Linked DNA regions of Callithrix jacchus. The protein of the gene in region 3 purifies or fractionates together with the protein of the main gene of each other region. This does not show direct contact. Links are inferred from orthologs where the notes say so. Each region holds a gene or a part of one and is shown on either strand. Other genes may lie near its edges. The genes, in order: MOV10, SMG7, UPF1, MAGOH, STAU1, EXOSC2 and ILF2.

Region 1 (4,124 bases), on a different chromosome or scaffold from region 3:
TAGGAGGTTTCATATTAAAATTTTGATTTTGTCTTGTCTTGAAAGTCAAATCTGGCCAGGTGCAGTGGCATGTGCCTGTAGTCCCAGCTACTCGGGAGGCGGAGGCTGAGGCTGGAGGATCGCTTGAGTCCAGGAGTTCTGGGCTGTGGTGCACTATGCCAGTCGGGTGTCCACACTAAGTTCGGCATCAATATGGTGACCTGCTGGGAGCGGGGGACCACTAGGTTGCCTAAGGAGGGGTGAACCGGAGCAGGTCAAAACTCCCGTGCTGATCAGCAGTGGGATCGCACCTGTGAATAGCCACTGCACTCCAGCCTGGGCAACATAGCGAGAACTCGTCTCTTAAAAAAATAAAAGAAAGAAAGAAAGTCAGATCTCGCCATCTTAGGCCTGCAGTCCCTGCTGGCCCCGTTTGGAGATGAGCAGTTACGCCCTCAGACAGGGGATGCCCTTCCCAGTTTCTTCAGTTTCCACAAAGCCCTCTTTCTGCCCGGCATTGATCTGGGAGCCTGGAGCCACTTTTCTTGGAGGCTGCACTCTTGTTTTCTTAGAGTTGCGAGGGATATGCATGCAGTGTTCTTACACTAGTGACTCTCCAAAATGGGACTGAACTGGTGTCTGGGAGGGCTGCAAGTGTCAAGACACCTGTGGAGCCTAGCTGCTGTCAGCATTAGCTTGTGCTTCGATCCGTGGGACTTCGATCGACTCTAAGGGGCCCTTGCGAAAGTTTCTGATAATCTCCTAGTTCAGTCCCTTTGTTACTGGACCCCTCAGCAGTGTTTGATCCTGACACCTGGTTTTGAGACTTGGCTCATTCTCCTTTCTCTCTTGAGGGTTTCTTGTTTTCCCTTCCTCCCTGGGTTGTCTAGTAGCTGCTCTCAACTACTCACACTCCTGGGGAGATTCCTACACTTCCTTGATTATAACCACTACCTGAGGACTCCCTAATACTAGGCTGTAACCTTGACTTTGGTCTGAGTTCTCAGCTTCTGACTTGTGGAGCTGGTTGCCTGGACCACAGGAATCTCAAACCTAGCATATCCAAATCCAAATGTCATGGTCAGTCCCTCCAGCCTCTCCTCCTCTTGTCTTACATCCATCTCAGAGATAGTCCTACAAGCCAGGCCACTGATTTGGGGATCCTAGACTCCTCCCTCTTCCCAGCCTTCATTCCCACTTCTGTCAGTCACCAAATTCGGCTAATTTTACATCCTAAGTATTAGCAAATCTTGCTGCTCTCCTTCTATCTCCACCACTGCCTTGCCTCCTGCCTTTGTTATCTTTTCACTAGAAAATTGCAAGGGCCTTCTTCTAACTGGTCTCCCTGCCTACAATCTTGCCTCCAGCAAATCCATCCTCCAATCCTGATGCCAGAGTGATCTGAAATGCAAATCTGATCTTGCCACTCCCCTGCTTAAAACCCACCAACCGCAGTGGTTCTGTAACCACGCTGTAGCCTCTGACGTGGGCTGAAAGTAAGTTGTTACTGCTCCTATACTACTGCTACTATTAGTACTACTATTTCTACTAATCTAAATACTAATAATAGTAGCTAACATTTACCGAGCATTTTCTATTATGCTTTCCAATGATTTATTACCTTCTTAAAACAAATCATAGCCAATTCAACGTTTTCCAAATTGTACCGGTCTCATTTGTTTGGGGTGAAGGAGAGGGGCAGAGTTACAGGCAGGGGCACCTGAAAAATCTTCATAACCATAAATGATCTTACCATATACCCTAGTGAGTGTCCATGCCGATTTAGCCTTAAAAGTTAAATAGGGATTACCATAGTTCTCATAAACAAAGATTTGCTTTTAAGAGAGGGCCTCTTAATCTGAGTCAGAGTCTAGATTTTGAATGTGTCCCTGAAGTATGTTGCACATGGGAATGTCCTCAGGCTCCTGGGTATCAGTAGAGCGGGGAAAAGGACTGCAGGCATTCAAGGGTCAAGTCCAGGCTTGGCCTGGTATGCAAAACTGTCCATGAGCTGGTCCCTGCCCACCTCTGCTCCTCCTGCCACTCCCCTCCTTGTGCATTTCACTCTAGCACAATGAAACTGTATGTGATACTAATCATGGCTCACCCTTACTGAGGTCTCCTATGTGCCAAGCACTGGCTCAGTGGTTCTCTGCTGTGTCAGAATCTCATTGGAACCTCATAACAACCCTACGAGGTAAGTCTCGCTTTCCTCCAGTTTTATAGGGGAGGAAAGTGAGGCTCTGAGAGATGCGGTCACCTGAGCTGACCTGGCTAGAGTTGTCAAGGGGGCAACCCCTCCGCCCGTACCAGCACACGTTCTTGCATACTCCTCACATCTGCTCACGCTTTGCACTCTCTTGTGCCCAGGTAATGCCCACTCATCCTCAGGACCGAGTTCTTATGCTGCCTCCTGGGGAAGCCTTCGTGGACACCTCCTCTGCCCCCAGACTGGGCTCGGTGTCCCTCCGTGGCACTGAGCCCCTCTGTGGCCGATGAGCTGCCCTCTGGGCACCATGCTGGAATGTATGTGTTCAGTCTGTGTGCTCCTCGAGGCAAGCGCTGAGTCTCTTGCATCTTTGAACCCCCGGCATCCAGCACAGTGTCTGGCACATAACAGGCCTCTGTAAGTGTTTGTTGAATTGACTGAACTGAACTCCAGGCGCTGAGCCTTGAGGTTATTGTCCTTCTGACCAGTTTTCCCTGTCTTCACCTTCTCTAGGCACAAAGCCAGGCTATTTGATCTCTGGAGAAGGATCCTTTCCCTTCCTGCTTGGGTTCCACCTGCACCCTATGACTTCGGGTGGAAACTGCTGTCTGATCAGCCACCTTGCCCACACACGTGGACATCTGTACTGTCTCTGATCCCTTCTCTCCTCACCAACGGGCTGGAACCCACATGCACCCCTCTGAATCAACTCATTCCGCTTCCCCTTAGCCTCAGCTCTTTCTTCTGAGTTGTTTGTATTTTCTTTTCTGTCCCAAACAGTTTCCCCCACAAAAAGAACTTTATGTCTTTCTCTCTTTTCCCTCGGTCCTTCCAGTCAGCAGCCTGTGATTGGGCTTTTCCCCTCAGAAATGAACAATCCAGAACCCACTGTTTAAAACAACTGTATTTTGCCTTGGGAGGTCGCATTGCCTTCCCTTAAAACATGAAACATTCCTCCGATCCCGAGCCTGTGTCTCTCTGTCTCTGGGCCCCATCCTGCTCCACAGCAGGGCTGGTGTGTCCAGCACAGAGTGACCCTCCGACGCCCTTCCCCACCCGCCGCCCTGCCTCCTGCAGGCCCTGCCTTGCCTCACTTTCCAGTCTCCTCTGCTTCTGGCAGCTTTGGGACCCCCGCCCCTGGCTTCTCCTCCATGCTGTATGGAATGAAGATTGCAAATCTGGCCTACGTCACCAAGACTCGGGTCAGGTTCTTCAGACTCGACCGCTGGGCCGACGTGCGGTTGCCAGAAAAGAGGAGAATGAAGCTGGGGTCAGATATCAGCAAACACCACAAGTCACTGCTAGCCAAGATCTTCTATGACAGGTGTGTGTGCTGGGGCACGGAGGCCTGCAGGGTGTGAGGGAAGGGGCTGTCTGAGGACAGAGTGGGTCGCACAAGTGGGAGGAAGTCCCCCTCCTCCAGGGAGTGGGGGAAGGGCGGGGAATTGGCCTTCGGGGAGGAGGCGAGCTTGCTGAACACAGCTGGCACTTTGCCTGCCTCCCAAGCCTAAAACTTTCCCCAGGGTAACTCCCCAGTCCAGACCGCGCCCACCCCAGCTCCGCCTTGACTCCCCTTCTCCCCAGGTCTGAGTATCTTCACGGGAAACACGGGGTGGATGTGGAAGTCCAGGGGCCCCATGAAGCCCGAGACGGGCAGCTCCTCATCCGCCTGGATTTGAACCGCAAAGAGGTGCTGACCCTGAGGCTTCGGAATGGCGGAACCCAGTCTGTCACCCTCACTCACCTCTTCCCACTCTGCCGGACACCCCAGTTTGCTTTCTACAATGAAGACCAGGAGCTGCCCTGTCCACTGGGCCCCGGTGAGTGGGTTTCCAGAGGAAATGGCTGGTGGAGAGGGGCTTGTCCCAGGCAGTGCTGGTGCTTTGGGAAGCACCGGCGCTGTCTGGTGGACTCTTGCCTTGGGACGGGGCTGCCT
Region 2 (4,124 bases), on a different chromosome or scaffold from region 3:
TTCCTTCAAAATACCACAATCCTGATGAATGCAACCACAGTAGAAATAATGGAACCATAGTCAAAGATGACTGCCAACAAAAAATAAAAAAAGAAAAAGGAAAAGAAAATAACGAACCTGGTTTGCAGAATGCAAATATCTATAAAGTAGGTAACATAATCATATATAAGAATGCACAAACCATCAAAAATAGTAGTTTCAAAACTGAGGAGTTATTTTTTCCATTTTGATAATTTTTGTCAAATGGCAGCTACTCAAGTGAAAACACTGATATACTTGTCTATACAGACCACACCTCAGTTTAAATTGAAGAGAGGATATATGCAAGGATTTCACATGCTTCAAATTTAATTTTTACCAATAGTTCACACAGTTAAGTAAATATAAAAACTGGGAGTCAGTTTCCTCCAAATTTTACGCTTCCTGATTTAGACAAGACAAAAATTCTCTGTATCTGAAATCTAACCTTAAACTGTTCTTCCAATTTCTCTCGAAGAGGGCTCAACTTTTCCAAGCTCTTACTCAGGTACACATGACCGTGGAATTTAATAAAGGCCTTGATGAAGTCAGAAACACCCCACTTGGTTTTCACCTCATCTCGGCTGAAATGAAAGAAAAAAATTCCATGAATCTTAAGCAGCAAAATGGCTACAACTGCTTAAGGAGGCACTGGCTTGCTAAAACAAATGAATACTTGATACACAAAAGAGAATTCTGTATTTGACTAATTTTTCAACTGCAACACACTCAAGATGAGTCAGTATTAACAGCCTGTGTACTCTTTTACTGGGACTGAATCAGATATTGACTGGTTGAAATTCAGTGACTATATAAAAATTATGACAAATCTACATCTTTAGAAATAAGAGAAGCATAGGTCATTATTTTCTGTAAAACAAAGTATAAGAGTTCAAGGCTCCAGGTTACAAAGTCCTCTAGAAAACAACAACAAAATCAACCCCACCTTTCCAGTGCTTTAGAAAGTGCTTTTTGCAGATTAGTGGAGGCAGCTGGGAAAGGGAACTTCACAGCAATGCTTCTGCAGTAGTAGAAAATTGTGGTCAGATGGTCTCCTTTGGAAGAAGCTAAGATAGCCAACTGATTGTAAGGCTGACCTACAGAAGAAAGTTAAGATTCTGGAGTAACCCCAAGAATGACAAAGTCTTGCTATCAGAATATGAATGATCAGTGTTTAAATACTCAAAAAAAAGGGAGTATTTGATAAGGTAAATATGCCTACCTCATTACAAACTGGCATAAAGTACAACGGCACACTTCAGCAATGGTACACAATATCATACACAGCTTAAAAAGTCATAATTAGGGTGGAGAGTGGCTTCACAAAGGGCTAAATAGTAAATAATTTCAGCTGTGTAGGCTAAAGGGTCTCTATCACAACCACTCAACTTTGCCACTGTAGTGTGAAAGCAGCCACAGACACTATGAAACAAGTCGTGTGGTCAGACTGCCATTCCTGCTTTAGACTCTTTCTAGAATCTAAAAGAATTTCAGTGTCTTAATTCTTATTAAGAATGGTTAAAATCATCAAATATCTGCTGTAACTTCTTTAACTCAAGAACTACTGCTAATGCCTAGTTTAGGGCCATTACAAGATTACCTTTTAGGTAATAGATTATTTTTCTGCGGGAAAAATGGTGGTATCTAAAGAAATAATTATTCTATAAGCAATTAAGGAAGCCAGAGTTGTAGAAACAATATCAAGTTATATTAAGAGACTCTATCTGTATTGCTTTACTGACAATAAGTCATTTTACTTGTAAAACAAAAATTCAGTTTACATGGAATGTACAGTTAAATAGAAAAACACGACAATAACAAAACAAAAACAAAAATACATGAAAACATGTATTGCTTTCATAAAACTTCAAAGGTGAGCCTTATCTGCCACGTTGTTATAAAGAACGAAGTGTCAGGGTCAATCTCAGGTTGATAGGCCCACTCACCATTGGAGGGGACAAGCTGAGCTGCATGCCTATAGTAGGACTCTGCCTGGCTGGTCTGGTTTCTGTATCGAGCTAAGAGGAGGAAGAAAGTTAGTTTTTAAAAAACCCAAAAAACAAATAGTAGGGTAGTATTTCCAAAACAGCTATAGTTTTAAGTTCTAAATATAATAAAGACATTAAAGTTAATTTAAAATTAAATGCAGAAAATACTTTAAAACAAATTAACTATAGGATTATGTGTGAAGTGTCCATCAGCCTTCCTTATTTGGGACATTCAGCATGTAACCAATTTTAAAGCTTACCTAGACCCCATTTTCAGGTCCTCCAGTGTCATGCATCACCAGCTCCCACTATGGACTATGCTGGTGACCTGGAGCCGGCCCACAAGAAGGGGTGAGTTATATGGCACTTAAAAACAAAACAAAACAAAATACACTATACAATATGATCTGAAAATGTATTTCTTCAATATCTTATAAATTGATTTTGAAAAATGCCTCATTCCTATCACATTAAATATGTGTGTGCAAAGAATACATTTAAATCAAAACAACCTAAACACACTATCAATGAATCTCCCTGCCAAATTCACTGCTTACTCTGATGTAATCTCCTCATGGAACCGATGATTTGTAATATTCAGAAATCTAAAATGTTCAAACTTAAAAGCAATAATGTTCTCCATTCTTTGTTATTTGAGGACAAGCAAAACATAATCCTATAGTTAATTTGTTTTACAACCTTTCTAGGTCACCTTAAAGGAATGAACGAGAATAAATGTTATGTAATATTCCCAGGTAAAATACATTTAATAGAAATACAAATTAAACTTTTAAAAAGAAAGCAAAATTAAAAATGAACTTTTAGTGCACTGGTAAGAAAGAAAGAGGGCAATTCTGCTTCAGAAGGAATAATTTACAAACCCCACCAGAGTACAGACATTTAATTTAGAAAATATTATGGCACCACTTTGAAAAATTTAGCTTTGATTACATTTTTGCTGTTTATTATTTGCCTATACTACATAAAGTCTTAATAAAATTTAAATCTTAATATGAATTCTTCAAGATGCTCTGCCAATCCCAAAAATATTGAGAAATTTTAAGTTCCTTAGAACACATTTTATAGTTTCTTCTTATGACAATCTAAATTGTGTGTGTATGCTCAGCTTAAAGGAAAAGAGTTTCTTTCTATGACTACTCCAAAGAAAAGGATGAATGTATTATCAATTCCTTCACAGCAAAGGCTCACCAATGTCTCCAAGGTGGACGAGGCAGTGCTGGCAGATATAGGAACAGGAGCTAGACTGTGGCTTCACTATGGCGCTGGTATGCGTCTGTTTATTGCTGATAATTCCCAATTGGGAAGACTTCACACGGCATGGTAAATCTACATTAAATACTGTACACAGTTCTTGTAATAACTAAAAGAAAAACAAAATTTAGTAGTAAGTCACAAGTGCTCTGAAAGTAAAATTTATAAACTGTAAGATGTGTACCTGGTATCACATGGTGCTGAAATCTGAACAAAAACTGCATGAAAATTATATGGTAATCATTCATAGGATAACCAGTATCATTCATTATAAATCATACCTTTTGAATTCTCAAGTATTACAGCAATCTAGGATGTGCATTGAAAAAAACCAGCAGCATTTTTAAAAAAAGATTATTTAACTGGATAGGATTTTCAGACATATTCAGCAAGCAAAGAAAACTACCACCCTCAGAAACACACAAAAATTATTAGATATTGGTTACAAATTTAACTTAAATGCAAGCCAAGGTATTTGTCAGACTTTAGGCACTTCTTGCAATTTATTTTCTTAAGCTATATGCCAATTCACATGTCTTTGCATATACAACAAATCTCATGGTAGTGTAGATCTTTACTGTATTAACCCACTCCTACCTCCTCTTTTCTCTGTTCTTCAAGTATGAAGGTTCTTCTTCCTAGTCAGAGTTAACTATTCTGACTGTGTGTGCCTATTGCTACATTCTTTTATGGCTCCTGTCTGTCTCCCACCTCTCCATTTTTCATCTTTGTTCAACCTCTCACATGCTTCTTTCCTATGGCCCACACACCAAATGTCTCCCACAGAAAAAAACAAGAAGAAAAAACAAAACAGAGCTAAAACACTCCCCTTGACCCTAGATGCCT
Region 3 (4,690 bases):
CGCGGTGGCTCAAGCCGGTAATCCCAGCACTTTGTGAGGCCGAGGCGGGTGGATCACGAGGTCAGGAGATCGGGACCATCCTGATCAACATGGTGAAACCCCGTCTCTACTAAAAATACAAAAAATTAGCTGGGCATGGTGGCGCGTGCCTGTAATCCCAGCTACTCAGGAGGCTGAGGCAGGAAAATTGCCTGAACCCAGGAGGCGGAGGTTGTGGTGAGCCGAGATGGCGCCATTGCACTCCAGCCTGGGTAACAAGAGCGAAACTCCGTCTCAAAAAATAAATAAATAAATAATAATATATATGTATATATATTCACACACACACACAGGATCTCTGTCACCCAGGCCGGAGTGCAGTGGCACAATCATAGCTCGCCTCAAACTACTGGGCTCAAGTGATCATCTTGCCTCTACCTTCTAAAGCGCTGGGATTTCGGGAAATAGCCATCTTGCCCAGCCTTACTAGCCCACCTTACTGGCAGCAGAAACTCTAGGCTCAGAGAGGTTAAGTCACTTGTATAATTTCATACAGCTAATAAGTTGTCAGGTCTAAATTCCACCACAGACCATATGCTTCCAATTGTTTTGCTGTATACGTCCGCTAAATAATCATAGCAAAAATTGTAATTGGTTAGTAACAGCGGCAGAGAAATCAGGAACAGCAGCAACCATCATTTCCACGTGCCAGGCCCAGAACGTAAGACTATCCCCATTCATTTATTTTTATTTATTTTTGAGACAGGGTTTCGCTCTGCTGCCAGGCTGGAGTGCAGTGGTGCGATCGCGGCTCACTGCAGGCTCAATCTCCCAGGCTCAAGCAATCCTCCTACCTCAGCCTCCCTAGTAGCTGGGACTACAGGAGCGAACCACCAAGCTTGGCTAATTTTTGTATTTTTTTGTAGAGATGGAGTCTCACTCTGTCAACCAGGCTGGTCCCGAACTCCTGGGCTCAAGCAGTTCTCCCGCCTCAACCTCCGAGTGTTGGGATTATAGATGTGACCACCGTGCCGAGCCCCATTCTCTTATTAAACCATTGCACAGGGAGCATCTACTGTGTGCGAGATATTCCCCTATTTTACCGATGCGGAAACTGCGTTCTAAGCAGCTTTTGCCCGGGGTGGGAGGGCACTGTCCTTGCCCAGCCTCTCCAGTTGGGCGTTCCGAGACAACCTACGTAAGGTATTCGGCTAGCGCTCAATTAAACCGAAACACTGTCGCACCGCCCACAGATGCAGACCGCCCAGTCCACACCGCCCGCCGCCGGGCGTCCCTGATTAGCAGTTGGGGCAGGGCCAAAGTCCTGGAGCTGCCGACGCGCAGGCGGTTGAAAGCCCCGCCCTCTGCGCGTGCGCGTGCGCGTACCGTCTTGCCGCTTGGCTCCCGGCGCCCGAACGCAGGTTGGCTGCGTCCGCGAAGAGCGCGCGCGCTTCCGCCGGCGTCGGGCTCGCGCACGCGCACGGCGACGGCGGCGGTGGCGGCCGTTCGTGCTCAGGGCTGCGAGCAGCGGACGGCTTCGAGGGAAGCGGCGGCGCGGAGGGGCTCAGCGGTGGCAGCGGCGTCTCGGCGCTCGTAGCTCTCGGCCCGGCTGGTGCCGGGGCGGGCGTTTCTGTCCGTTCCGGACGCGCGGGGGCTACAGCGGCGGCGACCCGAAGCCTGCGGCCTAGGCCTCAGCGCGGCGGCGGGCTCGAGTGCGGTGCGGAGCCGGTCAGAGGGCCCTACCCGGCGGCACCATGAGCGTGGAGGCGTACGGGCCCAGCTCGCAGACCCTCACTTTCCTGGACACGGAGGAGGCCGAGCTGCTCGGCGCCGACACTCAGGGCTCCGAGTTCGAGTTCACCGACTTCACTCTTCCTAGCCAGACGCAGACGCCCCCCGGCGGCCCTGGCGGCCCGGGCGGTGGCGGCGCTGGAGGCCCGGGCGGCGCGGGCGCGGGCGCTGCGGCGGGACAGCTCGACGCGCAGGTGAGCGGCACATGGCGGCGCCGGAAGCCCGGGCCCGGCTTCGGCTCCTGGGACTTGCCCTGACCCCGCCTCGGGCCAGGCCGGGCCGGGGCTTACCTGGAGTTCTACACCGCGGCCTGGCCTGGGCCGACCTGCCCCGGGTCCCCTATTCCGTCTGGGCCTGAGCTTACCTGCCCCAGGTTCTGCTCTCTTCCGGGGCCTGGCCCAACTTGCCCCGGGCCCCCGCTCCAGCCGGTACGGGGCTGAGTTCCTTCGGACCCCAACTCCCGGGCCGGGCCGACTTGCCTCGAGTCCTCCCCTCCGTCCGGGTCCGAGCTAACCTGCCCCTGTTCCTTTTACTTCGGCTGGGTTTGTTCCTCCGCCTGGGCTAGAGCTGACCTGCCTTGTGTTCCACAACCAGTGTGGCCTGGAGTAACCTGCCCCGCTTCCCCCCCTCACTCCCCTGGCCAGCTGACTTATCCAGGTTCTTCCACTCCAGCCGGGCTAGGGCTGCCCTGCCCTGGACCCTCTTCCGCAGGTCTCTGTAGTCTACCCCTAGTTCCCTTACGGCCTGGGCCGGGTGTTCCTCACGCCGGATCTTGAGTGATTTCTTTCAGTCCCCTTCCGGGAGTATCCAGGGTGACCTGCCCTAAGCCTGTTTCTGGCTCGGTCTGGGGGGATCTGTCCCGTCTCCCCAGTGGCGAGTCCGGCCTCCCTGTCCCACCTCCCATCTGCGGTGGCAGCCGTCTGGGCACGCCCCCGCCCCGCTTTCACGGTCAAGGAGCCGAGGTTCGAATTTCCCCAGGCGTAGGGGCGCTGGCCAGTGGAGGGTTGAGGCTCCTGGAGCCGAGAAGAATTTTTGCCTCCCGCAGAGGAGCACACATTGGCTGGGTATTAAGATCATTCGGGAGGCAGGTTGTGTTTTGTTTTTTTTCCTTGAATCGCCTGTTGCTGAAACCAACCTGTTACATAACTCCACAACTCTTGCCTTGAAAAAGTTGAGTTTGAGTTTTGTTCCTCCAATAAGACAGCAATAGTGGATTTTATATAAACGAGTCTGCCACTTTGGAAACTTTTTAATGATGTGGATGTTTAGAGAAGGTTATTTGGGTATTTTAAATGGAGGCTTGATTTGGGAAAAGTGTCAGGCATGCATTTCCTGGTTCTGGGTGCTGCCCACCTGGGGTGGGAGAGGGCTTTGGAGTGAGGGTGTTGGCCGGGGTCTGGTGAATGTCCTCATCGTGCTCTGGATCTCAGGTTGCTTTCACCCTAGGCTTGCTTTGTGCCTGACACCTCACTCAGGTTTATTTTCCTGAATGCTCTGCCAGGGAGTAGCTACAAGGCTCACCTTGGCAGAAGTGTCCCTTGGTATATGCTTGTGTTTCAGAGCTGGGGAAACCACCCCTTGCTCAAGCAGAGTGAGCTCAGACCCTGTCCTTGGTTGAGGGGGGCTTACGTGGTAGTCGGTTGAGTCACTCCCGTGGGTAGACCACCCACTTGGGCTTTCTTTTAGCCCCTAATGGAAGCAAAAAAAACATTTGACTCATTCTAACCCTGTATCTCTTAAAATAGAAGGCCTGCATAGAGGTGCAGCGTGAGGAGAACAGGTGTGCACATATGGGTGTTTTTTGTTTTGTTTACATTTGGTGAAGGGAGGGAGGGAAAGAGGAGAGTTCCCCTGAAGAAGGGAGCCTGAGCTGTGGAGGCCCCACCACCTTGTAGTTTTCATGCCCTGTAGACCTTTCTGCTTCGCAGCTGTGCAATGGGGGTGGCGGTTAGATTTTTGTTCTTACTGAAGGAAACCTAGATCCATGTGTTAGTCAACTGTATAGGCTGTCTGTAACCTGACATCCAGCCTGTTGGGGAGACTCGGTAAAGATCTCTGGAGCAGGGAGCAGTGAGCCATGAGCTGTGACAGCATGGGTGCGGGGTTGGCTGGGTGTGAAAGGTAATCATTTTCTTGTGAATCCTTCTAACTGTAGCCAGCATGAAACAGCAAACTTGGGGCAGCCTTTAGTTCTGCTTTTGTTTCTGGCATTCTGTTTGGGATTGTGGGGCATGTCCTTCTCTTTCAGTTGAAACAACTGATTTTTTTTCCCTGCACCTGAGTACACTGGGCTGTGCAAAATGAGAGCATTAAAATGCTTCCCTGGAGGTAACCATTGCAGTTGAGCTCGCAGCAGTTCCTGTGACATCAGAGGGTTTGGCCTGCACTGTTTTTAATTGATCCAGATGCCCCACCCACCTGTTGCCTGTAATTTTGGATGTGTTTGTGGGGAATGGCAGTGGCACCCCTTTGTATCACAAGGGGAAGACTGGAATTTGTGGGCAGGGAAGTCTGTGAATATCATTCAAGGGAAAGCAGAAGAAAGTTCTCTCTTGTGCGAATTGATGGCAGTGTTTGCAAGACATTTGGGGAGACTTTCCCTCTTTGTCCTCAGGAGTTGGCGGTGTAACTAGCTGTGAGTTGGGGGCTCCTGGAAGGACTCAGCCCCTCATTCTGCTTTTCGATTTTTATTTTACTGGGTCAGTGGCTGTCAGCTGTCAAGTGCCCTGCAGTCACTTTTGCTTAACAGCTTTATTGAAATAGAATTCACGTACCACACCATACAGTTTACTCATTTAAAGTGGACAATTCGGCAGCTTTTAGTTAGTGTATTCAGTGTTGTGCAGCCATTACCATAATAAACTTTAGACCATTTTTGTCACTGCAAAAATAAACCCTTTAGCTCCTCCGACCCCCGTCC
Region 4 (3,352 bases), on a different chromosome or scaffold from region 3:
GGCTAATCACTTCCCTGCAAATGAGGCTTTGTAGGCCTAGTTCCTTTCAGCAGGTGCAATCTTTCCTACCAGTACTTTTCCTAAAGAAGCCACGTAATTTACCAGAAAGGAAAAGTTGTCCACAGGTCTACCTGCTGAACAAATTTCCACACTGCCTGGGCAACTTACAGTCCTGAATGGCTGTTGGTATTGTGATTTTAAAATGGATTAATGTAAAACTTTTCTGAGACCAGGCATTTTATCTTGTGTCACGTATGAAAACAAAGTATTTTCCCCCACACTGAAATACCTACTAATATAGATGTATCTATAAAAGGTTATTTTAAAAACTCCAACCACCATACTATTTCATACCTAAATCAAACCAGTGTTAAATTTCCTTAATGGTATTAATTTTACTTTTTTTTCTTTCTGAGATGGAGTCTCACTGTCGCCCAGGCTGGAGTGCAGTGGTGCAATCTGGGCTCACTGCAGCTTCTGCCTCTCAGGTTCAAATGATTCTCCTGCCTCACCTCTCTGAGTAGCTGGGACTACAGGCGCACGCCACCACGCCTAGCTAATTTTTGTATTTTTAGTAGAGATGTGGTTTCACCATGTTAGCCAGGCAAGTCTCAAACTCCTGACTTCAGGTGATCCACCCACCTTGGCCTCCCAAGGTGCTGGGATTACAGGTGTGAGCCACCACATCTGGCCTAATTTTACATTTTTTTTGAATCATTATCCAAATAGGGTCCAAATATTGTGTTATGTGTCTCTTAAGTCTCCTTTTTAAGTTCCCACTCCATTTCTGTTTCCCTTGTAATTTACTGAAGAAACTAGGTCATTTGTCTTGGAATTTCCTCTCAATATGGCTGACTGAAATCCTACTGTATTTTTAAAACATGTTTCTATATTCTCTTATTTCCTTTAAAATGATAGTTATATCTAGAGAGTTGATTAGACTTTATGTTTGGGCACTACCTCACATAGGACGTTAGTGTTTTACAAAGTAATTAAGAAGACTTCACATGTTCAGGTCTTTATAAAGTAATAAAAATTGGATTTTATCACATTTATTAAAGACAGTCATTTATAGTTTATAAAAAAAAATACCACCCTGATATACAAAAAATTTTCTTGAAAACGCTAATTAAAAACTACTCCCACCCGCCCATGTCCACACCAATATTCAATCTAGATTGGTTTGATCTTGAAGTGTAATCCAATAAGACTGAAGACCAAACACTTCAGGTCCTGGACAAGATAATAAAATACTCGTAAGCCTTCTGGATCCCTAAAATGCAAAAGGAAAAAAAAAGTTTAAAACACTGAGGTAAAATGGGCAAAAGATACCATTTAATAATCTCAATTATTCCTCTATCAAAATGTTCCTTGTAAAGATATTTAGGGCATTAAAACTTTGACCAAAAAAGGAAAAGACTATATATTAAAATGGCATATTATGAAATAATTTAAATATACTGAGTTTTTAAAATAGGAAAATGCTTACATTAAGTGAAAAAAATTAACATTGATCTCGACTATATTTTTTATGCTTCTTAAAAAGTATATATTCTATTAATGCACAGAAAAAAAGACTAAAAAGAAATACTGCAAGATATTAATAAAGGTTGTCTGATAAGATAATGGATGGTTTTCACCCTTCTACTTTTCTACATTTCCTGTGTTTTCTACAATGAGCATGTATTACTTCCAGAGTTAGGAAAACTTTTTTAAAAAGTAGTAATACTAAGCAGGACCAAGAGGTTGAAGATTACTGTGGCATCACTAGCTAAGAACAAAGAGTATCCAAAGGGAAGAACAAGGAGAGTGTGCAAAGGAAGACAATTATGCCCAACATTTGCTAAAAGTGAGCCATATCTAATCCTGAATCCCCAAAACATAAGAGCCAAAGAAGTTGCCAAATTCTAAAGATTCTTCGTAGCACATAGGTTCATGCCTCAACTTAATAATCTGCCCCACTGACAACACAAATTTTAAAATTTGATCCATTTTCACCAAAATTATTTGTAAAAATTAATAAATTTAAAATCAAATAAAATTTAGATCCTAAAAATTGTCAAGTTTCATCAAAGTCAGATTTTAAGATGTGCCAGTCTGAACAGTCACACTGTGAAGGCTATTCAGACTTGGTGACTCTGGTTTATCATGAGCACTTTTCTAGCATATTCCATTTTTGTCCTGGCTGCTCCTGTGCATTAATTTGTATGTATGCGTCAACAAGAAGCTCTCAATAGCAATGACTAAATGAAATACCAAAAGTAATAGGAGCAAGTCTTCAAAAATAATTTGAGATCCCTCCCTAACAAGGAGGACAAAGCTGCCCACCTGTACCAGATCTTCCCATAGTGATCCCAATTTGGTTAAGAGTTTCTTATCAATCTGCTCCAAAACAGACACAATTGGAGATAAGGATAATGCACTTACTTGGATTGATTGACATCAATAAGGGAACCAATTTTTGATGTTGTAAAAGAAATGTGTTCATCTCCAATAACGATTTCAAGCTCCTGGAAGCATTTTAGAAAATCTAAGTCAAGTAAAATTGGATTATTCATCAAGCACACAGAAGGATTAATCATTTGCCAAATCACACAAACTTGACTACAGATGGCCATAAAAACAAGGGCGGTTCACTCTGAACACTGAACTGTGCTGGGGACTAGAAACAAGACATAAATAAAGCTCATATTTAGAAGAAATTGTACCCTCAAGGCTCTACTATTTCTGGAATTTGAAAAAAAAATCTATGAAGCTTTTTTTTTTCTTCCCCCCCCGAGGCGGAGTCTCATTCTCTCGCCCAGGCTGAAGTGCAGTGGTATGATCTTGGGTCACTGCAACCTCTGCTTCCAGGGTTCAAGTGATTCTCCTGCCTCAGCCTCCCAAGTGGCTGGGACTACAGGTGCCCACCACCACCCTGTCTCTATTAAAAATTTTTTGTATTTTTAATAGAGACAGGGTTTCGCCATATTGGCCAGGCCGGTCTTGAACTCCTGACCTCAGGTGATCTGCCTGCCTCAGCCTCCCAACTGCTGGGATTACAGGCATGAGACACTATGCCCAGCCTATGTAGTATTTTGTCTAAGTTTTCATTGTCAACAATGTGGAGTAAAATGGATACATCTATGTTTTAAAAATACCAAACAATTGGACTGGGTGTGGTGGCTCACACCTGTAATCCCAGCAGTTTAGGAGGCCAATGCAGAAGAATCACTTGCGCCCAGGAGTTTAAGACCAGTATGGGCAACTTGGCAAAACCTCATCTTTACAAAAAATATAGAAATTAGCTGGGTGTGGTGGCATGCACCCATGGTCCCTGCTACTAGAGAGGCTGAGGTGGAAGGATCCTTCA
Region 5 (4,124 bases), on a different chromosome or scaffold from region 3:
TCTCATTATGTATAATGGAAAAATATTCCAAAATCAAAAAAAGCTCTGAAATCTAAAGCACTTCTGGTCCCAAGCATTTAGGATAAGGGATACTCATCTAGTACTTCAAGTTTGTCTTCTCTGAGTTAATGACTCTTCATTTCACTGGCCAAGGCCAGCCTTTAAGCCATTTCTGAAAGGCATGGTCTCTACTTCAAATTCTATATAGCTAGAAAAGGGGGCACGGAGGAGAAATATCAAGGGGCACAAGCAGATTTAACCACCACTCCCAGCAAAGCTCCTCTGAGATTTCACAGGAGCGAGTGAAAACTCAGCTCAGGAGAACATGTCTACAACAGCTGCTGCCCACAGGACTGTGTCAACCAACGCTGTTCTAGTGAGTGAGAGCACAAGACTCAGAAACTCTAAAAGGCGCTCATCCTTTGTAGCAATACTGTGATCACTCTCATGGAGGACTCACTCCTGGGGAAGTGCTGACAGCATTCAGATCTGTGGTTCTCCAACCTTTACCATACCTCAGAATCACTCCAAGAGCTTATTAACAACAACATGGCTGAGTGGCTCAAGCCCATAATCCCAGAACTTTGGAGGGCCAAAGGGGTCAGATCACCTGAGCTCAGGAGCTTGAGAAAAGCCTGGGCAACATGCTGAAAACTAAGTCTCTACTAAAAATACAAAAATAAGCCGGGCATCGTGGTGAGCACCTGTAGTCTCAACTACTCAGGAGGCTGAGGCACAAGAATCACTTGAACCCAGGAGATGAAGTTGCAGTGAGCCAAGATCATTCCACTACACTCTAGCCTGGACAACAGAGGGAGACTGTCTCAAAAAAAAAAAAAAAAAGCCAGATTTCTGGGTCTTACCTTAGATCTACTACATTAGAATCCTGGGGTTGGGCCCAGAAATTTTTTTTTTTTTTTAACTTATCAAGTGATTGTGATGCAGAAAATCCCTGTATCAGTACCCAGCAATTGTTTATCAACTGTTGGCTGGAAGGAACTAGAAATACCTATACAATCGGACTCCAATTAAATTAGCACCAGTCAAGTAAAAAAACTGAAAAGCCTCCAAAATAACTCACATTATACTACTACCTTTTTGATGTTTTAACAAATCTCACCACTGAAAAGCTCATCCTTTTAACTTCACTAAATCCTCCTCTTTTAGCTACAGCCTCATTTTCTTTTATCTGGTCCTCAGTGGGCCCTGGAAACAGATCATCTGTTAGAAGAGGTGATTACAGTGGAAAATGGAAACGCAGCGTAACAAAAGAAAAACAAATTGCTTCTGTGCGGCCAGCCATGAAGTCTGAGCTGGGTCGCCCTGGGTGGCAACAGATACAATAGACCTCACCAGGCACCCTGCCCAAGGTCCACTGGGGTCTACACCTCTCATCACATAATTAGCCCACTGTTCTCTGCAAGTTCTTCTTGTTCTTTGTGAACATATTTCCTGGGGAAGAAAAGTCAAACACTACCCAGAGATATTTTCAGGTGGCATTTCCTGCTGTAATTAAACAGAATTATGAAATCTCAATGTTTTCAATTCACTGGGCTTCTTCTGGACTTTGTTATTTTATCTGTCATAAGATTCTACCTGGCCAAAGATATTCACTAATGCTCTAACCCCTCAATGGCATGGAGTTACTGATTCCCTAAGAATTATATTGCTGTTTAGTCACAAAAACTTTTTTTTCCTATCATGGTGGTTTTAAAATATGTCCCCTAATTCTTTGACAATCCTTTTATTTAGAAGTGGGATTCTCCATATTGTGAATGTACTAAAATCCACTGAATTGTACACTTAAAGTGGTAAATTTAGGCTATATAATTTTTATCTCAATTTTTTAAAAAGTGACGTTTCTCTATCTCCTTCCTTTGAATCTGGGCTCCGTGCCCACTTGACCAGTAGAGTATGGTCGACTCGATGCTGTGATTTCTGGGCCTAAGCCTTAAGAAACTGGCAGCTGCTTCCATTTCCTATCTTCTAGGATGCTTACCCTTGGCAACCAGACACCATACCATGAGGAAATGTAGGCAATTTTTCCATAGGTCACCCAGGGATGAAATGAGGTCCTGGGGCCAGAGCCCCAGCTGAGCTCCTAGCTGACAGCAAGCATCAACTTACCAGCCACATGAGTGAGCCATCTTAAAAGCAGATCATTCATCCCCCTGCAGAGCTACCTCAACCAAAGCTGTGTGGAACAACCCTTGCCAAGCCCTGCCTCAACTGCAGACTCATGAGCAAAAAATAAATGCCTGGAGATGTTTAAACCATCATTAAATGTTGTAATGGTCCGTTATGCGGCAACAGATAACAGGTGCTTCAATATCATCAAGACTGGCTGGTCAAGAACAGCTTCAGAAAATTCTCTAATCTAGTATCACAAATCACAGTAGATTCTGTCAAGTGTAATCTTCAGCACTGAAGACTTCATCCATACATGTTCTTCACAACTCAATTGAATTGCAAACTTTCTAACATGTTCACACCATATCATGTCACTCAAAACCATGCCATCAAGTAAAAAAGAAGGTAACTGATTTTCTTAATTTTAAAAGAAAAAAGGGGTAAAAAGGAAGAAAGCTACAGAGCACAAAAGCTTGGAGGCATTCAAAGAAAAATTATGGAAAGCTGTTAATGTGCCTTCTTAGAAAAGATAATGTGCAGTGACATCTCCCCATGACCCTTCTACCCTGTCAAAGTGTCAGAGAACCTGGGCTCTGCTCCTCACCTCCAGCCTCTCTGGCGGGGGCTCATTCTGCAGGATCCTCAATGCTTTGGCAGCAGCATCATGTTTCGCAGCCTGTCTTGTCTTTCCTTTCCCATTAAATTGCTGTCCTCCCACAGAAAGCTCCACTTGATAAAGTAAAGGTGGAACTGGAAATGGGTAAAAGTACCTAGAAATAAAAGGGGGTTAGGCAAATTATAGTCTCAAGTTGGTAAGTCACCCATACATCCTCTAGCAAATGCAAATCTTTCCTTCATCACGATCCTACTCACATTAGTGTTTGATGCTAACCACTCTTCATCAATATATCCAGATTTCATAAAAGCTTAAACTGAATTAGAATTTCTACACAGTATAAGCAAAGAGTGTTTAGCAATCCCAACTTATGTTTCATGAAATACAATGGCTTATAAATTATGAATTCAATGTATCATGCTAACCTGTACTGATAAAATCTAAAATAAATTAGGCTTTGGCTGAGACAGAAATGTAGCTTGCTCTGCCTTCTCAAACCTTAGCTTTACACTTGCATGTCTCCAATAGGAGGCTGGGAATTTTAATGTACAGGTCTTTTAGGAAGGATCCTCATTTCGAGAAATCCCAACAAGCTGTAGCCTACCTAGCAGAATCCAGTTTCTTATCTATTTCATAGCTTATATTTTTAAAATGACTTAACCCCCAAACAGAGAGCAGGGAAATGAAGAATTCCATTTTGCTCATCATCTATCCACTAATGTCTTATTATCATGAGCAAAAGATTTTCAATGCATGGCATTTTCAGGTTTCAATTAATATTTTATTGCACCAGAGCTACTTACAAAGCTCACAAGTTCAAAAACCAAAAAGTACCCAATAATAAGGTATCTATAAATGCTGGGAATCATTGTATTACAGGAATCATTATGCTATGGGAATCATGTCCAAATATAATTCATTTACACAAAGGAGTTACAAGGGTGATCTTTAACCAGACTGTTTGAGGGCACAAGCCACACTGCCAGTGAGGAACATGCTCAGGCCCTTTCCAAAGGCAGTAGTTAAACACACACACAGGGCCAGATGTAATGGCTCACGCCTGTAATCCTAGCACTTTAGGAGGCTGAGGCAGGAGAACCTCTTGAACTCTGTTCCCGACCAGTCTGGGCAACATAGGGAGACCCTGTCTCAATTGATTTAAAAAAAAAAAAAAAAAAAAAGGAGGGGCAACCAGGCACAGTGGCTCATGCCTGTAATCACATTACTCTGGGAGGCCAAGAGAGGTGGATCATCTGAGGTCAGGAGTTCAAGATCACCCTGGCCAACCTGGCAACACCCCATCTCTACTAAAAAATAAAAAAAATTACCCGAGCATGGTGGTGGGCACCTATAATCCCAGCTACTCAGGAGGCTAAGG
Region 6 (4,820 bases), on a different chromosome or scaffold from region 3:
ATGAGCCACTGCACCCGGCCCAGGGCTGGCTTTCTTAAGTGTGGTTGTGAGCCTTAAGTGAAAGAAATGTTGACCCTTTGGAGATTGATAAAACAATTGGCTCAATGGATCTTTCTTCAGGAGGTGGACTTGGTTTACCTGCTTTACTGACCACAGCTGATGCAAATTATTTCATTTAACCCTCTTTAGAGTCCCCGTGCATGGGGAATTATCTTCCCCAATTAGTTTCTTGTGAATGCTGCAAACCATGCAGGGCAAGAAGAGCGAGAGGATAGTGGGGGAGGGGGAGAAGGGGCGAGGGGTACGTTCCTATCAAAACGGAGCCGCAGCTGGGCGCGGTGGCTCACACCTGTAATCCCAGCACTTTGGGAGGCTGATGCGGAAGGATCACGAGGTCAGGGGTTTGAGACCAGCCTGACACACATCGTGAAACCCAGTCTCTACTTAAAAAATACAAAAATTAGCCCAGCGGTGTGGCATGCACCTGTAATCCCAGCTGCTTGGGAGGCTGAGGAAGGAGAATTGCTTGAACCTGGGAGGCAGAGGTTGCGGTGAGCCAAGAGCGCGCCTCTACACTCCAGCATGGGTGACAGAGCAAGATTCCGTCTCAAAATAAAATAAATAAAACGGAGCAGCAGAAAAATCCACAGAGACATCCGTCTATTCCCCGCTGAATCCTTAGAACAGCGCCTGGCACACAGAGAGCGCTCAATTTGCTGTATGACTAAATGCAAGCCAAGATCTTTGTATTATGTGCGCACTTGCCTTCCCTACCAGATATACTGGCTTGCAAGTATACTGTTTTCTTAGACGATTTTTTACTTTTTTTCCAGAAGAAATATTGGCATAAATTAGCTCGCTCAAAGGAGTCTTTATGAAAAGACAGAACCAAGTGAGAAGCATCTGGAGCCCGGTTTGGGGGCTATAGATGATGCTGCTGAGCCAGCATCCACGGGGCGGCAGGGACGTAGAATACTGGGACTACTAGGAATGGTGTGGAAAGGGGCTCTTCTTTCTGTTCAAATAGTGTTTCTGTAGATCCCATCTCTTCATCTTCCTGAGCTCTCTCTTACAAAATATCGGATTTCAGCAGCTTAGAATTGGACAGAAACTCAGAATTCCGTTTTTCAATTATTTCTAACCCTGGTAAACAATAAATGGGATGATAAGTACAAGAGAGTTTTGGTGGCCGGGCGCGGTGGCTCACTCCTGTAATCCAAGCACTTTGGAGGCCAAGGTGGGCGGATCACCTGAGGTCGGGAATTCAAGACCAGCCTGACCAACATGGTGAAAGCCTATCTTTAAAAAAAACAAGAGTTTTGGTAAAAAGTCAAACGACGTGAGATTTTATTATTCCAAGGGTGCTCCCTTACCAATAGTAAACATGGCAGCTCGGTTCCCTTCCCTTCGTGTTCGCCTTATGGTTGCCAATTGTAAACATGGCCTCCAGGTCGTGAGTTCTCATTGGTCGCTGCACCGAGTCCCCGCCCTTCCCCGCCCCTCAGGACGCGGCCGGGAGTTGCGGAGCCGGATATTGCGGCTCCTGGCTGAGCTGCGTCTGCGCAACTCTTTGGCGCCAAGATGGCGATGGAGATGAGGCTTCCAGTGGCTCGCAAGCCTCTTAGCGAGAGACTGGGCCGCGACACTAAGAAACATCTAGTGGTTCCGGGGGACACAATCACTACGGACACGGGATTCATGCGGTACGTGGAGACTTGGGGGAGTCTAGGCTTCAGAGAGCGCTTCAGGGCTCTCTGCACGTGGCCCACGCCTCGTATCCCTGAGTGTCCATAACTCACCGCAGGACCCACGGGACATCGCCTGAGCATCCTACTCGCCTCGCTTCCGAGCCTCGTGCTTCTTACCCCCGGCATCTTGTGTGTCCCCGTCTGCATTCGTTTCAGCTCCTGACCTCCGGTGGCTGTGACTTTTGGGTTTTCTGCCCGAAGTCCAAATCTTTGAGGCTTCCTTGTAGGAGACCTGGAAAACTGGAGAGGGTTAGGAGCAGGCTGTCTTTCCAGTTTTCAGCTGTCTGAGGGGACGGTGAGCGTTCTTGACTTGGTCTCCTTCTCTTCAGTTTAGAATCCTTAATTGTTCGAGCTTAGGGCAAACCGTTACATTGCGCTGCCTGCACCCATTTACACACAGTTTGAAGCTAAGGGGTGCAGTACAGTGCGTTGTAGTTAAGAGGGCAGGCTCTTGAGTCAGATAATTGGGGTTACTTCCAGTCCTGCTACCATCGCATTTATTAGCGGCATTGCCTCTGCCCTGGCCAGTTTCCTCTTCTGTAAGATAATAATAACAACAGTATGATACGGTAATGAGGAGTAAATGAGATCATTACGTAAGAAAAGAAGTATAACCAGCCATTACATCATCATCATAGTTAACACTAGTGGTATTTCAAACTTTTATTTTTTTGTACCTGTATATATACAAGGGGCACAACATTCATAGCATTGCCCTTTAACCTGTTAGTTTAAGGTTAGTGGATCCTAGAAGATCTCCCCCCCACCCCCGCTTTTTGAGAGGAAGTCTGGCCTTGTCTCCCAAGCTGGAATGTAGTGGTGCTGTCTGGGCTCACTGCAACCTCTGCCTCCCGGGTTGAAGCGGTTCTCCTGCCTGAGCCTCCTAAGTAGCTGGGATTACAGGTACCTGCCACCACGCCCGACTGATTTTTGTATTTTTAGTAGTGATGGGGTTTCACCGTGTTAGCCAGGCTGGTCTCGAACTCCTGACTGCAAGTGATCCACCCGCCTTGGCCTCCCAAAGTGCTGGGATTACAGGTGTGGGCCATCATGCCCAGCCCCTAGGAAATCTTTGGATTCATTCTTTGATTAATGCTTTCAACATATGTTTACATTTTGTGCAGTTGGGATATAACAGCAGAGTGAAAAATCTCTGTCCTGGTGGAGTGCTAACAGGCAGAGATAGACAATAAGTGCAACGAATAAGTTATTCAGAACATTAGGCAGTCAATGCAATGGGGGAAAAGTGGAGCAGGGTAAATGGAATGTGGTGGGAAGATGGTGGGAGGGTGGCAACCTGGTTGGGGGGGGGGCTGTTTTCAGTGGCCTAGTCCAAGTGGGCCTGCTGGAGAGAGTGCCATCTGAGCAGACCTGAGTGAGAGGAGTGACCTCCAAGTAGATGTCTGAACAAGGAGCACGAAGGCAGAGGGAGCAGCCAGCCCAAAAGCCAGCCTTCACAGGGGCAGCCTGTTAGCTTTGAGGAACACCTTGTTCTTGAAGAGAGAGCACCGCAAGTTACCCTGGGATCCTTTCTTTGTGTCTTTGCCTTGCGTCAGGGGCCATGGAACGTACATGGGAGAGGAGAAACTCATTGCGTCTGTTGCCGGCTCTGTGGAGAGAGTAAACAAGTTGATCTGTGTGAAAGCTTTGAAAACCAGGTGAGAACAAAAGGTGTGTATTCCCTTTCTTGTGGCATCCAGGTTGTATGACCAGGCTCTTTCTGCCTCCCCTTATCCCCCACCCTACCTCTGCCTGCCGCATCCTGCTGTAAGTCTTCGGTTTTGACCATGACTATAGGTGGGTGGTGCAGAGCAGCGCAGGCTTCAGAGGTATCCCCATGTTATGTCATCTCTCCAAGCCTTGGTTACGTCCTCTGAAAGTGACTATATAGTATGGCCTACTTCATAGGATTTTTTCTTTTTTTTTGAGAGGGAATCTCGCTGTGTCATCTAGGCTGGAGCTCAGTGGCACCATCTGCTCACCGCAACCTCCACTTCCCAAGTTTAAGCAATTCTGCTGCCTCAGCCTCCCAAGTAGCTGAGATTACAGGTGCTCGCCACCACGCCTGGCTAATTTTTTTATGTTTTTAGTAGAGACAGGGTTTCACTATCTTAGCCAGGCTGGTCTCAAACTGCTGACCTCAGGTGATTCACCCCACCTTGGCCTCCCAAAGTGCTGGGATTACAGGCATGAGCCACTGCTCCTGGCTTAGGATTTTTTAGAATTCAGTGAGATGGTGCATGTATTTAGCACAGGGCCTGATACTTAGAAGCATTTAATAAAGGTTAGCCCCAGAAAGCAAGACAGTAGGGTTGGAACAGAGTGAGTGAAGCGGAAAGTAGGGGCAGATGCAGGCTGAGAGCTGAGGTGGGTGGACATGCGCCTGCCTTCTTTGCCACTGTAAGCATTTTGGCTTTTATTTTGCATGATCTGGGAAGCCACTCGTAGGGGTGGAGCAGAGGAGAGACTTGATCTGGACTTCAGCTCACTCTGGCTACTGATGGGAGATTGAAGGGGGATAGGGCAAGCTTAGGGAGATGGATTGGGGACCATACTCGTGATCTGAAGCGGTGGTGGCTTGGACTAAATTGGTAGCAGTGGAAGGTGGAGGAGCGATTTTATTTTCTGAGTGTTTTTTTAAATCATGAAAAGGTGTTGGGTTTTTGTATTCTTTGGGCTTCACTGTACATAGGACCTAGTCATCTGTGAATGGAAATAATTTTTTATTTCTTCCTTTCCAATCTGGATGCCTTTTATTTCCTGCATATATATTTTTTTCTTTTTCTTTCTCATATGTTTTGTTTTTTCTTTCTTTCTTTTCTTTTCTTTTTTTTTTGAGATGGAGTTTTACTCTTGTTTCCCAGGATGGAGCACAATGGCACCATCTAGGCTCACTGCAACCTCCGTCTTTCGGGTTCAGGTAATTCTCCTGCCTCAGCCTCCAGAATAGCTGGGATTACTGGCATGCACCACCAAGCCTGGCTAATTTTGTATTTTTAGTAGAAACGGGGTTTCACCATGTTGGTCAGGCTGATCTTGTACTCCTGACCTCAGGTGATCTGCCCGGCTTGG
Region 7 (4,884 bases), on a different chromosome or scaffold from region 3:
GGCTGAGGCAGGAGAAATGCCTGAACCCAGGAGGCGGAGGTTGCGGTGAGCCGATATCACGCCATTGCACTCCAGCCTGGGTAACAAGAGTGAAACTCCGTCTCAAAAAAAAAAAATAAAAAAATAAGTGTATATAATCTGTGTACATATCCACCTGGCTATCTCTACCCACAATGAGAAATAAAGAGAAAATTAAACCTTCTGTGGCTTTCAGGCTACCTTAACACCATTCTTACCCTTACCAACAGTTACTCTTTACCAATACTTTTAACTGTTTTAGAGACATTTCTGGAACACAGCCAAAAGAACATACCTGTTCAGCAGAATTGGGAGCCAGGTCCTGATTCCTCTTGAGCAAGGCCTCGCTGAAGGAAGTTTCATCAGGTGCTGGCTTGACCCGGGGGAAGGCCATTTCACACTAAATCAGAAATAAACAACTACATTCTATTTACCAAAAATAATACACAGGAAAGATTGTTTTCTCTGTTACTACAACAGAATAAGTTAAGAATAGAAAATTCTATACTTGTTTTCACTCCTTAATTTGTTCAATTAGCTGGGCATGGTGGCTCACACTTGTAATCCCAGCCACTTGGGAGGCTAAGGTGGGAGAATCACTTGAACACAGGAAGCAGAGGTTGCAGTTAGCCAAGATCGCACCACTGCCCTCCAGCCTAGGCGACAGAGTGAAACCCTACCTCAAAAAAGAAACAAAAAATTGTTCAAAGGCTGGGCTGGGTGGCTCACGCCTGTAAATCCCAGTACTTTAGGAGGCTGAGGTGGGCAGATCACTTGAGGTCATGAGTTCAAGACCAGCCTGGACACCATAGTCTCTATTAAATAGAAATACAAAAATTGGGGCTGGGCGCAGTGGCTCACGCCTATAATCCCAGCACTTTGGGAGGCCAAGGCGGGTGAATCACCAGGTCAAGAGATTGAGACCATCCTGGTCAACAAGGTGAAACCCCGTCTCTACTAAAAATACAAAAATTAGCTGGGCATGATGGTGCACGCCTGTAGTCCCAGCTACTCGGGAGGCTGAGGCAGGAGAATTGCTTGAACCCAGGAGACGGAGGTTGCGGTGAGCCGAGATGGTGCCATTGCACTCCAGCCCAGGTAACAACAGCGAAACTCCATCTCAAAAAAAAAAAAAAAGAAATACAAAAATTAGCTGGGCATGGTGGCAGGCCTCCCAAGTAATCCCAGCTACTTGGGAGGCCGAGGCAGGAGGATCTCTTGAACCCAGGAAGCAGAGGTTGCAGTGAGCCAAGATTGCACCAGCCTGGGTGATGGAGTGAGATGATGTCTTTAAAAAAAAAAAAAGTTCAACCAAGGATACAAGCTGGAATAGCCATAATTTAAGCTATCACTATAACAGATAAGCCATAGATATAATTACTTGTTCAGAAAAAAGATAATCATATTTAATGCCAATAGTAGCCAAGGAATTAATCTCCCCACCCTGCTTACACTGTTTCTGTATGTAAAGCAACACACTGTTGAGCTGTTGACTCAAAACCCCAAGTCTTTTCATAAATCCCTTTCCCTCCCTACTTCACTTTTTTTTTTTTTCCCAGTCCTGCCATCTCAGCTCGTTGCAACCTCCACCTCCCAGGTTCAAGCAATTCGCCTGCCTCAGCCTCCTAAGTAGCTGGATTACAGGCACATGTTCAGCTAACTTTTGTAATTTTAGTAGAGAAGGAGTTTCGCCAGGCTGATCTCAAACTCCTGATCCACCTGCCTCGGCCTCCCAAAGTGCTGGGATTACAGATGTGAGGCACTGCACCCAGCCTCTTCAACCACCATTTAGCTTCATCAACTGGGAGATCCGGAGCTCCATTTCTAGTGGCCAGTAAATGTGTATGATTAACCCAAGGTACTCACCAAATAGAAGTCAAATGGGATATGTGGTACAAAGGGCCTGAACCTAAAACATGAAAAACAGCTAAATTATTCCCTATGTAGGAATCAAGTGAGATGTATAACACCAGCAATTTTGAAAACGTGTCAGTCCTCAGAATGAGTGACAAAGTCTCTGGGGAGGGGGAATCATTCTTAGCATAGTGGGGCCAAATTCATTTAGCAGGGGTGCAGGTAAAGACCACAGTTGGCTCTCACAAAACCAAGTGACTTTAGTCTTCCCCAAAACTCCTATTTAGATGACAAGCAGAAACTAACAACCAAGTCCAGAGATGCTAAAAACCGGCACTCACCCTCCTCCTGGGCCTCCTCTGGAACCAAAGCGCCCACCACGACCACGGCCTCTGTCACCCCTAGAAACGCAGATTTTATTTTGACCTCATTGAAGGAATACTCACCGGCCATATCATTTTAAGGTGGCTACTACTTTCATCCCTCGGAACCTCCGAACGGCAGGCAAGAGACCCCATGCCCACTTGCACTTTTCCCCATTCCAAATGGTGCCCAGTTATACATCCCCATAACCTCCTCATTCTGGATGAGTTAATCACAACCCTGCATCAAGTGATCACGGGGCTCAGACACTCAGCCCCTACACGAAATAACCCATAATCCTGGGCCACACGAATCCTAATACTTCGGAGGCCAGAAGTTGCACATTTCTTCATTAACGTACGCATTTATGGGGCATGTCCTCTGTGTCAAGCCCTTTGCACTGAGGATGAAAGCGGCTCGCTGCAGCCTTCTCACCCCAGATGGGGGGTCGGGGGAAGCTCCTCCGGGGACTTGAGGACACCCCCTCATCGCAACCCTTCAGAGACAAAGGTGCCGAACCCGCCTCCCCACTCCTGGGCCCCAACCCCATCCCGGGCCCAAGTTTCCCCGCCTCTGCCGGCCTCCCACTCCCCTACTCTCCCAGACCGGGAGTTCTCCGGTTTTTGGCCAGCTCCCGGACACACGGCGCTTTTAGGTCCTCCGACTTCTTTCGGCCCACGTTCCCAAAGTTTTCCGTCGAATACCTGCAACCTTTCGATCACTTCGACCCCCTTACCTCATGGCGGCTTAAAACACGAACAATGGAGGCCGCACCAACCGCCCCTTTGCTCCGAGGAGCGGAAAACTGAAGAGGCGTCTTGCCGGCGTGTCCCAATAAAACCCAGCGCGATTGGCTCCCGCCTAACCCAATCGTTTATGCCTATTGGCTTACTCTGTCAACCCGGGCTTATGAACCAATAAAAAAAGCCTACTGTGTCAGGAACTAGCCAATAAGAACTGGTTCTATAGTAATGGCGGATTTTTGGTCAGACATTAGGTGGCACTAAAGAAATAGGGACAACAGCTACATAGAGAGTCTTCTATAACAGTCCTGAAAAAGAGTGGCTTGTAGATAGCAGAGTGGCGCAGCGGAAGCGTGCTGGGCCCATAACCCAGAGGTCGATGGATCGAAACCATCCTCTGCTATCGGATTTTTTTCTTTTTTCATTTTCGTGTCCTATACGGCACACATAATTTAGGTTTCTTCGGTGAATGAAAACATCAAAATATCTTCTTAAATTTTCCTACCTCAAAAATACAACCGATGTCAGCCGGTTTTCCCACTCGGAGTTGAAGTTGTTGGGGAAAAGGGAGTTTGGGCAACAATGAACATTACATGTCTACAAACTCGAGACAGAAGAAACAGGTTTCAGATAGGAGAGGAGAGTATTGATTGAATTAGTGCAGAAAACATGATTAGTGAGAGAATACGGGGGAAATTGAGACAGCCCTTGGGGAGAGGGCGCAGAAAAAGGAATGGGGGGCCTAGACGCTGGGCGCGATGGCTCACGCCTGTAATCCCAGCACTTTGGGAGGCCGAGGCGGGTTGATCACCCGAGGTCAGGAGTTCGAGACCAGCCTGGCCAACATGATAAAACCCCATCTCTACTAAAAATACAACAACAACAACAAAAAATAGCTAGGCATGATGAGTGCCTGTAATCCCAGCTACTAGGGAGGTTGAGGCAGGAGAATCGCTTGAACCCAGGAGGGGAGGTTGCAGTCAGCCGAGATCGTGCCATTGCACTCCAGTCTGGGCAACAAGAGCGAAACTCCGTCTCAAAAAAAAAAAGTAAAGAAAAGGGGGGCAAAGTAAGGGGCAAAGAGAGGAGAATCCAACTCGTCCCCGTTGCAGTTTCCCTCCAGTTCTCTTCCCTCACCCCACAAATCTGGATGATGGACCGGGCACGTTGGTTCACCCATGTAATCCCAGCACTTTGGGAGCCCAAGGCGGGCGGATCACGAGGTTAGGTGATCAAGGTCATCCTGGCTAACATGGTGAAACCCTGTCTCTACTAAAAATACAAAAAAATTAGTCTTTGTCGTGGCGCGCGCCTGTAATCCTAGCTACTTAGGAGGCTGAGGCAGGAAAATCGCTTGAACCCGGGAGGCGGAGGTTACAATGTGCCAAGATCGTGCCACAGCACTCCAGCGTGGGTTACAGAGCGAGACCCCATATCTACTAAAAAATACAAAAAATTGGCTGGGCATAGTGGCTCACCCCTGTAAGCCAAGCACTTTGGAGGCCAAGGCGGGCGGATCACATGAGGTCGGGAGTTCAAGACCAGCCTGACCAACATGGTGAAACCCCATCTTTTTTTAAAATTATTTTTCTTTAAAATTAAAAATATATATACAAAAAATTAGCTGGGCGTGGTGGCGGGTGCCTGTAATACCAGCTACTCTGGTTGCTGAGGCAGGAGAATCACTTGAACCCATGAGGCTGAGGTTGCAGTGAGCCAAGATCATGTGCCACTGCACTCCAGCCTGGGTGACAAGAGCTTAACTCTGTCTCCAAAAAATAAAATAAATAAAATAAAAATTATTAATTTAAAACATAAAATGGGCTGGGCACAGCGGCTCACACCTGTAATCCCAGAACTTTGGGAAGCTGAGGCGGGTGGATCACCTGAGGTCAGGAGTTCCAGA

The links.
Region 1: the proteins of UPF1 (region 3) and MOV10 purify together in Homo sapiens (affinity purification with mass spectrometry; 3 studies listed by BioGRID and IntAct, with this or other methods). This does not show direct contact. The link is inferred for Callithrix jacchus from reciprocal best matches to the Homo sapiens genes UPF1 and MOV10.
Region 2: the proteins of UPF1 (region 3) and SMG7 purify together in Homo sapiens (affinity purification with western blotting; 7 studies listed by BioGRID and IntAct, with this or other methods). This does not show direct contact. The link is inferred for Callithrix jacchus from reciprocal best matches to the Homo sapiens genes UPF1 and SMG7.
Region 4: the proteins of UPF1 (region 3) and MAGOH purify together in Homo sapiens (affinity purification with western blotting; 3 studies listed by BioGRID and IntAct, with this or other methods). This does not show direct contact. The link is inferred for Callithrix jacchus from reciprocal best matches to the Homo sapiens genes UPF1 and MAGOH.
Region 5: the proteins of UPF1 (region 3) and STAU1 purify together in Homo sapiens (affinity purification with mass spectrometry; 7 studies listed by BioGRID and IntAct, with this or other methods). This does not show direct contact. The link is inferred for Callithrix jacchus from reciprocal best matches to the Homo sapiens genes UPF1 and STAU1.
Region 6: the proteins of UPF1 (region 3) and EXOSC2 purify together in Homo sapiens (affinity purification with western blotting; 3 studies listed by BioGRID and IntAct, with this or other methods). This does not show direct contact. The link is inferred for Callithrix jacchus from reciprocal best matches to the Homo sapiens genes UPF1 and EXOSC2.
Region 7: the proteins of UPF1 (region 3) and ILF2 purify together in Homo sapiens (affinity purification with mass spectrometry; 3 studies listed by BioGRID and IntAct, counting the BioPlex papers as one, with this or other methods). This does not show direct contact. The link is inferred for Callithrix jacchus from reciprocal best matches to the Homo sapiens genes UPF1 and ILF2.

The regions. Positions count from the first base shown.
Region 1 is NC_133508.1:150,650,016-150,654,139, forward strand, and holds part of MOV10 (helicase MOV-10), read left to right. Parts: intron 1-1,346; exon of another isoform or gene 1,347-1,475; intron 1,476-2,349; exon of another isoform or gene 2,350-2,605; intron 2,606-2,701; exon of another isoform or gene 2,702-3,308; coding exon 3,309-3,512; intron 3,513-3,772; coding exon 3,773-4,008; intron 4,009-4,124.
Region 2 is NC_133519.1:41,704,348-41,708,471, reverse strand, and holds part of SMG7 (nonsense-mediated mRNA decay factor SMG7), read right to left. Parts: intron 3,388-4,124; coding exon 3,216-3,387; intron 2,037-3,215; coding exon 1,965-2,036; intron 1,116-1,964; coding exon 965-1,115; intron 603-964; coding exon 467-602; intron 1-466. UniProt on the Homo sapiens protein: Plays a role in nonsense-mediated mRNA decay. Recruits UPF1 to cytoplasmic mRNA decay bodies.
Region 3 is NC_133523.1:17,531,168-17,535,857, forward strand, and holds the start of UPF1 (regulator of nonsense transcripts 1), read left to right. Parts: upstream 1-1,669; 5' UTR 1,670-1,722; coding exon of another isoform or gene 1,723-1,733; coding exon 1,734-1,964; intron 1,965-4,690. Other genes in the region: uncharacterized protein LOC144580760, read right to left, coding at 1,278-1,669, 1,723-1,735. UniProt on the Homo sapiens protein: RNA-dependent helicase required for nonsense-mediated decay (NMD) of aberrant mRNAs containing premature stop codons and modulates the expression level of normal mRNAs.
Region 4 is NC_133508.1:90,372,364-90,375,715, forward strand, and holds the end of MAGOH (protein mago nashi homolog), read right to left. Parts: intron 2,511-3,352; coding exon 2,428-2,510; intron 1,274-2,427; coding exon 1,174-1,273; 3' UTR 1,017-1,173; downstream 1-1,016. UniProt on the Homo sapiens protein: Required for pre-mRNA splicing as component of the spliceosome. Plays a redundant role with MAGOHB as core component of the exon junction complex (EJC) and in the nonsense-mediated decay (NMD) pathway.
Region 5 is NC_133506.1:44,230,905-44,235,028, forward strand, and holds part of STAU1 (double-stranded RNA-binding protein Staufen homolog 1), read right to left. Parts: intron 2,901-4,124; coding exon 2,735-2,900; intron 1-2,734. UniProt on the Homo sapiens protein: Binds double-stranded RNA (regardless of the sequence) and tubulin.
Region 6 is NC_133502.1:179,354,037-179,358,856, forward strand, and holds the start of EXOSC2 (exosome complex component RRP4), read left to right. Parts: upstream 1-1,572; 5' UTR 1,573-1,581; coding exon 1,582-1,703; exon of another isoform or gene 1,704-2,043; intron 2,044-3,304; coding exon 3,305-3,406; intron 3,407-4,820. UniProt on the Homo sapiens protein: Non-catalytic component of the RNA exosome complex which has 3'->5' exoribonuclease activity and participates in a multitude of cellular RNA processing and degradation events.
Region 7 is NC_133519.1:14,091,388-14,096,271, forward strand, and holds the start of ILF2 (interleukin enhancer-binding factor 2), read right to left. Parts: upstream 3,027-4,884; 5' UTR 2,977-3,026; coding exon 2,972-2,976; exon of another isoform or gene 2,842-2,971; intron 2,274-2,841; coding exon 2,214-2,273; intron 1,928-2,213; coding exon 1,885-1,927; intron 419-1,884; coding exon 314-418; intron 1-313. UniProt on the Homo sapiens protein: Chromatin-interacting protein that forms a stable heterodimer with interleukin enhancer-binding factor 3/ILF3 and plays a role in several biological processes including transcription, innate immunity or cell growth.